Caenorhabditis elegans: one gene and its partner. The protein of the gene in region 1 interacts with the protein of each later gene in a pairwise test. Each region holds a gene or a part of one and is shown on either strand. Other genes may lie near its edges.

What was found.
Region 2: the proteins of knl-1 (region 1) and kbp-5 interact in a two-hybrid assay, tested with the Caenorhabditis elegans proteins (one study listed by BioGRID).

Annotation. Positions count from the first base shown.
Region 1 is NC_003281.10:8,248,987-8,254,690, forward strand, and holds knl-1 (Outer kinetochore KNL1 complex subunit knl-1), read left to right. Parts: upstream 1-1,645; 5' UTR 1,646-1,649; coding exon 1,650-1,795; intron 1,796-1,842; coding exon 1,843-1,932; intron 1,933-1,984; coding exon 1,985-2,390; intron 2,391-2,435; coding exon 2,436-3,161; intron 3,162-3,205; coding exon 3,206-3,749; intron 3,750-3,793; coding exon 3,794-4,134; intron 4,135-4,177; coding exon 4,178-4,957; downstream 4,958-5,704. Other genes in the region: C02F5.10 (uncharacterized protein), read right to left, coding at 1-8, 56-150, 357-486; C02F5.2 (DUF5356 domain-containing protein), read left to right, coding at 651-705, 756-862, 906-996, 1,043-1,176. UniProt on the Caenorhabditis elegans protein: Acts as a component of the outer kinetochore KNL1 complex that serves as a docking point for spindle assembly checkpoint components and mediates microtubule-kinetochore interactions.
Region 2 is NC_003279.8:10,685,175-10,688,675, forward strand, and holds kbp-5 (KNL (kinetochore null) Binding Protein), read left to right. Parts: upstream 1-2,188; 5' UTR 2,189-2,195; coding exon 2,196-2,415; intron 2,416-2,475; coding exon 2,476-2,570; intron 2,571-2,655; coding exon 2,656-2,748; 3' UTR 2,749-2,885; downstream 2,886-3,501. Other genes in the region: sdha-2 (Succinate dehydrogenase [ubiquinone] flavoprotein subunit, mitochondrial), read right to left, coding at 1-71, 119-297, 351-409; ndua-13 (NADH dehydrogenase [ubiquinone] 1 alpha subcomplex subunit 13), read right to left, coding at 867-992, 1,036-1,249, 1,295-1,373, 1,783-1,879; tag-272 (Structural protein), read left to right, coding at 3,158-3,218.

The DNA of each region.
Region 1 (5,704 bases):
ACCTTGTTCTGAAATTGGATGATTAGAAGGATTTACTACAAATTTGAATATTTACTGGAGCATTTTTGACGTTCAGAAGTTCAGCTGAGAACGGTTCATCACTGGCATCCCACTCTCCTTCAGTGCATTCTGGCAGCTGTTCGCCCTTATCTGGAAATTAAACTTTGTATTGTCCAGATGCGAAAACTGTAAAATAGCTTGGAGTTGGGTTACTGTAGTCCTTAAAGCCATACGCCTGTTTTCTAACTAAAAACGCTGCCTAAAAATATTTCGGTCGTGTCGAGACCGGGCACCGTACTTCTCAGCGTAAACTAACAAAATTTCGCATCTGTGTAATATTGAAATTTCATCCTTACCATCATCAGTAATTTGAATCTTCGGCAACTGTCGAATAGATTGCTGAACACTTGGTGCTGGTAGTTCCTCTTCTTTTTCGTCTTTTTTATCTTCTTTCTTTTCTTCTTTGCTTGGTTGCTGCTCTGCCATTTTTTGCCTCTTGATTTTGATTTTATCGTTTTGAAGAATAAAATTATTTCCTTTTCAAAAGATGTTTTTTCTTAATTAAAAGATTTCGAAAAAAAAATGCAATACACGTAATTTTGAGTTTTCACTTATGGAAATGTATTTTACAAATCATTTTCAAATACAAGATGGACAACAAAAAGAAGGAAGAAAATCCTAGTAAATCTGATACTTCTATAAGCCGTGAGTAATATATATAACTTTTCGGTTTTTTTTTTAATAAAAAGTTTTAGTTCCACCAAGCTCAACTGGAGAAGCGCTTCAAAATTATACAGAATCGGAATGGAACGCATCAGATGATCCGTATTCTGCAGAACTTCTCAATGTGAAAAAGAAGCCGGTAATTTTTATTTTTACGTAGATTTTCATTAAAACTTTTCCAGAATCGAGTTAATGTGTTCTCAGCAACTGAGAAGAACATGGAAACTATAATTGTCACTGAAGAATCTCCACCACAAACTCCATTGCCTTTAAGTTGAGAAATCACAAAATTCTGGGAACTTAATTTGTATTGGTTTAGAGCCTGTCGTAGAACACCACAATTTGGCTCGATTGATTCAGAAATCATGTCAATTGCTCTTGGATAAAACTACACCAGATGGAACAGAAGTGCAAATAAAATTAGAATTCCCTGACTGGAGAGATACCGCCTGATTCTCTATGTGTTGAATAAAGCTTAACGGTTAAAAAAAAATTAATTGAAATCTGCCTGAAAAAATATCTAAATACAGTACTCACAAGAGAAACTACGGATTTTGAGAATTCGAATTTCGTAGAAAATATTTTTGCAATGTGTATCAGCTGTAATGGTACATATATTTATTTATTAATATTGAATTTTATCTAATTTTTGAAACAATTGGTTTTTTAAACTATTAAAATTGTATTATACTGCCCCAAGTTAAGGAATTACTCGTAGTGTGCGTTCTACGGAACCGGTGGTGTGTCGAGTGCAGCTTCGCTCCATTGTACAAGTTCAATTTCAAACAGAGATTTGCCGCCAAGCAAAACTGCCTTCGTTTACTTTTCACTTTTTTACTTTTCCCATTTAACGAAGTTTATGCTGCCGTTGTTTTGTTATTTTTTTAATCATAATTTATTACCATTTTTAAAACATATTTACAGCCATGTCGATGGAGCCTCGTAAGAAGCGGAACTCGATTCTCAAGGTGCGGCAAGCCGTCGAAACCATCGAGGAAACCGTCATGAACAGTGGGCCTAGTTCCACAACAACTAATCGACGAGTCAGCTTTCATAACGTGAAGCATGTCAAGTCAGTTAGAGTCAGTGAATAATTTATCAATAAAATAATTATTTCAGGCAGTATGACAGGGACCATGGTAAAATTCTTGACGCCACACCAGTTAAGGAGAAGATTACTGACACTATTGGATCAGATGGTATTTTGACGTGAGTTCCATCCTTTAACGTGAAATAATGAATACGTAAAAATCTTTTTAAGACCACGTGGCGGAAACATGGATATTTCCGAATCTCCGGCCTGCACGTCCTCATTTCAAGTGTTCGGCGGTGGTAATCTCGATAAAACTATGGATATGTCTCTCGAAACAACTATCAACGAGAACAACGAAACGGCGAGATTGTTTGAAACCACAAGAGATCCAACACTATTATACGAAAAGATCGTCGAAACCACAACAAAAGTTACCGAGCGAATTGTTAGTATGCCACTGGATGATACCTTAGCAATGTTCAATACAACGAATCAAGAAGATAAGGATATGTCAGTTGATCGTTCAGTTCTTTTCACGATTCCCAAAGTTCCGAAGCATAACGCTACAATGAATAGAACTATACCGATGGACCTCGATGAATCAAAAGCAGCGGGCGGCCAGTGCGATGAAACGGTATGTTGAATTAATAGAAGGAACCAAATTATCTTAATTTTACAGATGAATGTGTTCAATTTCACAAACTTGGAAGCCGCTGAAATGGATACGAGTAAATTAGATGAAAATAATACCATGAATGCTATCCGGATTCCGATTAATTCAAACGTCATGCCTGTAGACATGGACATCACTGAACATCACACTTTAATTGAAGAAAAGAAAAATGATACATTCGGGCCAAGTCAACTGATGGACATTTCGGCGCCACAAGTTCAAGTTAATGATACTTTGGCCATTTTCAACAGTCCGAGAGACATCTGTAATAAGGGTTTGGGTGTTCCTCAGAATCTAATAAATATCGCCTCGAACGTCGTACCTGTGGACATGGACATCACTGATCAGGCCGTATTAAACGCGGAGAAGAAAAATGATCAATTCGAGACAAGTCAGCTTATGGACATTTCTATTCCGAAAGTTCTAGTAAATGACACTATGGCGATGTTCAACAGCCCGAAACACGTCAGTAAGAGCAGCATGGATCTCGAGAAAACGATTGAAGCCGCTGACAAATCAACGAAATACCCGAGTATCGCAGATGAGGTGGAAGATTTAGACATGGATATGGATATCACTGAACAACAACCATGTGAGGCTGGTAATCAGCAGAACGACGGCTTGCAACTTCAAAAGGAGGATTTAATGGACATTTCGGTGATTCGAGATTCACCTGCAGTAAACGACACCATGGCTGTGTTCCAGAGTCCTGCCAGAGTAAAGATCGGAGCGGTAAGTTTTAAGCACACTTTCCAATAAAAATGTATTTCTTTCAGAACAACTCGATCATTGATTCGCAGAAATCTATCGTGTTCGGTGACGAAATGAGCATTGACGAGACACAAAATGATGGAACCTTGACGTTGCCAAAGTCGAATGTAGAAGTGACTACAACTAATGATGTCTACACGTCTCTCGAGCGGCAAGAGGAAAATGCTTCAGAAAACGTATCCATGATAAACGAATCTTCTGTTCATTCGGAAATCGACAAAAAGTCGTTTATGCTCATCGAAGAAGAAAGGGCTTTTATGCACTCCTCCATGATTGATGTAGCACAAAAGTTGGAAGACGATGGTTCGTCGAAGACGCCAGTCATCCTTGCTTCACAGTCAGCTTCTCTTGCCACTAAAGAACCATCAGCCCTTCACAACTCGAGTGCAACTCTCAACAATTCGATGGAATTGGACAACAATACTCTTCTTAAAACTATGCAAATTACAACGTGTGAAGACATTAGCATGGTCCATGAGTCTATTGCTGTTGAACTGAACAGTAACAAAGAGCAGGAGCAATTCGGAGATGAGACTTTGCAGAAAAATGGTAAATTTCGTTTATTCAATAACTCTATTAAAAGTATGTTTTAGATACCTCGAATACTGGCGCGAATTTCACATTCCAAGGCCATAATGAAACATCGCAAATCATGAACAATGTCGACTCGGAAGCAGTGAACACGTCCAAGATTTCAACATATTCGGCTTTCAATTTGAGCATCAACCAGTCTATCTCTAAACGACGTCGATCTCTTCTGAATTCTGCTCGTGAATCTCCTCGTCGTGTTGCGTTGGAGAATTCTATAATGTCGATGAATGGGCAAACAATGGAAGCTCTGACAGAATATCGACAGAATAAAACTATGCAGACGAGTCAAGATTCGATGCCGAGTATGAGTTTGAACGATTCGGGAAGAGATATTCTCGCGATGGTAAGAATATCTCTTTGAGTATTGAATCGAAAATGTCTTTCAGAATACATCAGTCCGCTCTCCTCATCTGAATTCTTCAAAAACTGCTGCCCCAGGAACACCATCATTGATGTCACAAAATGTACAACTTCCACCTCCATCTCCTCAATTCGAAATGCCAGACTTCGATCCAGCTGTGGTCAACGTTGTATATTTAACATCTGAAGATCCGTCCACTGAACAACATCCAGAAGCTCTCAAATTTCAGCGTATTGTTGAAAACGAGAAAATGAAAGTACAACACGAGATTGATTCTCTGAATTCAACCAATCAACTTTCTGCTGAGAAAATTGATATGTTGAAGACTAAGGAGCTCTTGAAGTTTAGTCATGATGAGCGAGAAGCGATTATGATTGCAAGAAAAGACGCGGAAATCAAGTTTTTGGAGCTTCGTCTGAAATTTGCACTCGAGAAAAAAATTGAAAGTGACCAGGAAATTGCTGAACTAGAACAAGGAAATTCGAAAATGGCTGAGCAGCTAAGAGGTCTCGATAAGATGGCTGTCGTTCAAAAAGAACTAGAAAAGCTGAGAAGTCTTCCTCCATCACGCGAAGAGAGCGGGAAAATCCGAAAGGAGTGGATGGAGATGAAGCAATGGGAATTCGACCAGAAAATGAAAGCACTCCGAAATGTACGCTCAAACATGATTGCACTTCGTTCAGAGAAAAATGCTCTCGAAATGAAAGTCGCGGAAGAACACGAGAAGTTTGCCCAGAGGAACGATTTGAAGAAAAGTCGAATGCTGGTGTTCTCTAAGGCTGTTAAGAAAATTGTGAACTTCTAGTGAGTTTAATATCGAAAAATTAACAGTCAAAAATTATAATTTTAGATGCCGCCTTCACCCTTCCCTTGCATCAGGCCTACAATACTTCTGATGCTCATATAATTCTTTACCTAATGTGCCATATATTTTAGTTTTTTTTTCATCTAAAAATACCCATTGTGCATCAACCGCACTTGCTGTATTTCCTTCAAGATGTTTACCTTTTCCCCTATACATTTATGCCTCAGAGCAATCACAAAGTTATGTTTTTATTCCTAGTTCATTCTCAATCAATCTAAAGGAGACTTATGGTTTGAATAGTCAAATGAATAAATATTCCTTGTAACCAAATTTTTTTGTAGCCGTGTTTTTTTTTGTAAAATGAAGTTATTGTGCGTTTAAAAATCGGAGTTTAAAAAATCGGAGCTTCAGTCTCCTCTCTTAAAAATAATTTTAGCTTACTATTTACTACTGTAGTTCCAAATAGAATATACATAATAAGGCGGGTAGGCAAGAGTTTGACACCTCGGGAGGTACATAGGTACGTAGGTGAGCAGTAAGTATACAAATTTTTTAAAGTTTTACTTTGATTTTTTTAAGTTTTACTTTGATTTTTTTAAGTTTTACTTTGATTTTTTTAAGTTTTACTTTGATTTTTTTAAGTTTTACTTTGATTTTTTAAAGTTTTACTTCTTCTCAGTTTTTAATTTTTATGTGGAGGCTTTGAAAAACAAAAATAAAAATTTGCAAGGGCTATTGAATTTGCCA
Region 2 (3,501 bases), on another chromosome or scaffold:
CCCTTTTACAGTGTCGTAGAAGTGCCAGCGCCAGTTATCTGGATTCATATTTCCCAAAGCGGCGTTCACACCTAAAAATCAAAATTTAAATTCTGTTCGTATACTTTGAGCGGCTCACCTCCTTGAGCCGCGACTGTGTGCGATCTTGTGGGGAAAAGCTTCGTAATGACGGCAGTTTTCATTCCACCTTCGGAGAGTCCCATCGCAGCTCTCAAACCGGCTCCTCCTGCTCCCACAACAACCGCGTCAAAAGTGTGATCAACGACATCAAAATTGGTGGTTGCGCTCACTTGTTTTCTTTGAAAATTGATAAAATTAGTGAAATGGCGTTAGAAAATAAATTATCTCACTTCATATAAGTGCGAACAGGTGTTTTCGCACGGTTTATCGACTTTACGACATTAAGCATCTTGCTGAAAATACAGGAAAAATATAGAACGTTCAGAAAAACAAATAAAAATCCGATAACGGTTGAGGTGAAACCAAAAATGAGTTGGCCGCGCGAACGATACACCGTAGTTCACACTTTCGGTGCGAGACCCACCGCTCAATTTTTGTTCCTGCGCCTTTAAGTTTGAAACAACTACGGTACATTTTTCTCTATTTATTTACATGAAATTTCTGAAAAGAAACGTTTCATTTGAAATTTTATCGTAAATTTACATCTTCATTTCATAAAATTCCAGAAGAGAAAAACAATACACAAACACGACTTTTAAAAACCAAAGGCCTGTCGTTCATTTTCGAAAACTAACAGTCTAAAAATGAAAACAAAAAAAAAAAGAAAATGATGTTTTATTGATAGGGGCCTAGAGCAGGACACGAACTCGAAGATTAGTTTGCCAATCCATCCAGATGAATGGTATTTACCAGAACCACTTGGACATCCATTGTGGGAACCAATTATCGTAGAATTTCGGTCCAGCGTACTCAGAGTGTTGGCGCCAAAGATGATCACGGGTTTCATTTGATCCCCTTGAGTGAACGAATACCTAAAAAATATGATAAGCTCCAGAATTGTTATAAATTTTTTACCTCAGTAGCAGTTGGATCCCACCACTTGTCTCCGAGAGTAAAGTACACTGGCTCTCCGTACCAGGTTCCAGTCTTCCATCCTGGAACATCCTTCATAATTTCCTCTTCCAGAGCACGATTCTTGGCCAACAATTTGAGCCAATATCTGTCACGCTCGGCAGTCAAGAACGGCTCCATTGCGTTGTTGATGTCAACATCTTCGAACTTTTCAGTGCTGTAAACTTGATATTTTTGGAGATAAATTCACTAGTTATCTTACATGTCCTTCTTCTTTCCTTCAAGAGCAGCATAGACTCCGTAGGCAGTAGCTCCGAAAATGGCGGCGACGACGGTTCCAGCTTAAATTTGTGATTGATTTTAAGAAAGTTTTGTGTTTTGAATCAAAATTTGATAGACAGAAACTTAAAAATAGAATACTGTTTCAACAATAAATTTGATAAAAATGTATTTATTCTTCGCGTTATATTATTTATAGAAAATAGTGTGAAATATCAAAAATTACAGCAAAATAGCAAACTGATCCCAAAATATTATGCTAAAAACGTTCTCTGTCATTTATATTTTATTGCTCAAGACAAACAGCTTTATTTTTATAAATAGCGTCTAAGCCTTTTTATTCTTTAAAGTTTCTTGAGAATCGTTTTTCAAAATATTTATTCTGTATTTCACAGCATTCTTCTCAATTTTTTCGGCGTTTTGCGTTGTTTCATTTCGAGTAATATTTTAAAGCAAAAAAAAACAACTCACGACTCCAGACAAGCTTCGGAAAAGTGCGATGGAAGTTGAATGCACGATAGCCTCCTTTTGGAGGCATATCCTGCCGAAACTCTGCTCCAGTGGCCATTTTACCTGAAAATAATGAATATAAATTCGATAAAAAACCGAATAAATTATAAAAATCGATAATTTCGTTGAGGAAAAAAAAACTTGCAAACAGAATAGAAATTGATAAGTCGGGCAAAATGTGCGGCACGGGAATGTGGGCGTGGTCTTCGTCGCAACACTGCGGCGCACTTTCACAGCGATTTATTATTTTGGCGCGTTTATCTTTTTTTTTTGAAGACGTATTTTGCATTTATCGCTTGTTTTCTTCTTGAAATTGCTTTTTTAATATAAAAATCTGCTTTCAAACAAAATTCAAACTTATTTTCAGTACTAAAATGAATCCAAATCATAATGAAGGCCTCCTCGAGCTGTACACACAAGCAATCTCACTCGAAGCTCTCAAAGACGCTGAGCAATTCCTCGAGAATAGTTTGCTAGGAAAAGATGCACAAGTCGAACGTCTACTCGCTCAAGTTCTCATCGAAGAGCAGCAAATCGAGACGAATCGCAAAAAGATAGCACAATTGAGAATCGAGAAAGAAGAACTGGAATTCGGTGGGTTTTCGGAACTTTTCTGGTTTTATAATAATAATTAATTAATTAATTTAAATTCAGATTGTGCAAATAGTGACCTGAAGTCGTTGGAGCAGATGCAAGCCGAGCGAGATGAGCTCCAGAGGAAGTGCCAACCGGGGCAGCACACTAAATCGGTGAGATAGGGGAGATTTTGAAGCTGAGAAATGCTTTTTGTTATCTGAAAACATTCAGCGTTTCTATTATTATTTTTAATTCTAGAATCACAAATCATCTGAACAACTTTTGAGAATGAAAAAAGAAACCGACGCTCTACGTGCCTACATGAAGAAGATAAGTCAATTCGAAGACTGAAGCCATCAAATGAATCTCTATCAATTATCCCTCAATTTAAATTAATTTCCATTCAAATCGATCTGTTCTCATATTTCCTCATGATGTGATTCTCTAATCTTTTGTACATCTACAAGTTATTTTGTTTTATAAAGCCACATCTCACTTATGCATAGTTTTTGTGTCCAAAACGGAAGTGTTATTGGGAAGAAAAAGTACAACATAAGGGAAGAGTGAAGAAAATCGAGAGACGCAGATATGACTTTTTATTTGCGAACACGAAAAGCAAAGTGACCAGCAGCATTGGACACTTTTCGAGCAAACTTTTCGTCCGAGGAGGAGCTCATTGAGCTTAAGTCTCAGAGCACTGACCATTACTTCGGTCACTCTACTGTTTTGAGAAGCGTTGAGCTCTTTCAATCGTGTAAAAATGTTACCAAAAACTGGATCATTCGATGGGATTCCTAAAAATTTCAGAGCAAGTTTGAGAAGTGAGTATTTATGGTCTCGAAATTTTTTTTAAATCTTGAATTCTTATTTTTGTTTTTCTTTCTCTAGTTACTCCCAGGATTAAACCAGTAAATTAAAAAAATGCACTTAAAAATTCGATAACTTCCTAGAGTAACTTCCTACTGTAAATTTAAAGGCGCATACACAAAATATTTTTCATAACGCGCGGCAAGACCAATCCACTAAATTCGTCCTCCCTTGAAGTTTTTCTGCCAAATTTCTCATTTTTCAGAATAAATTCCTGAAAACTTTTGAATTCAAAAT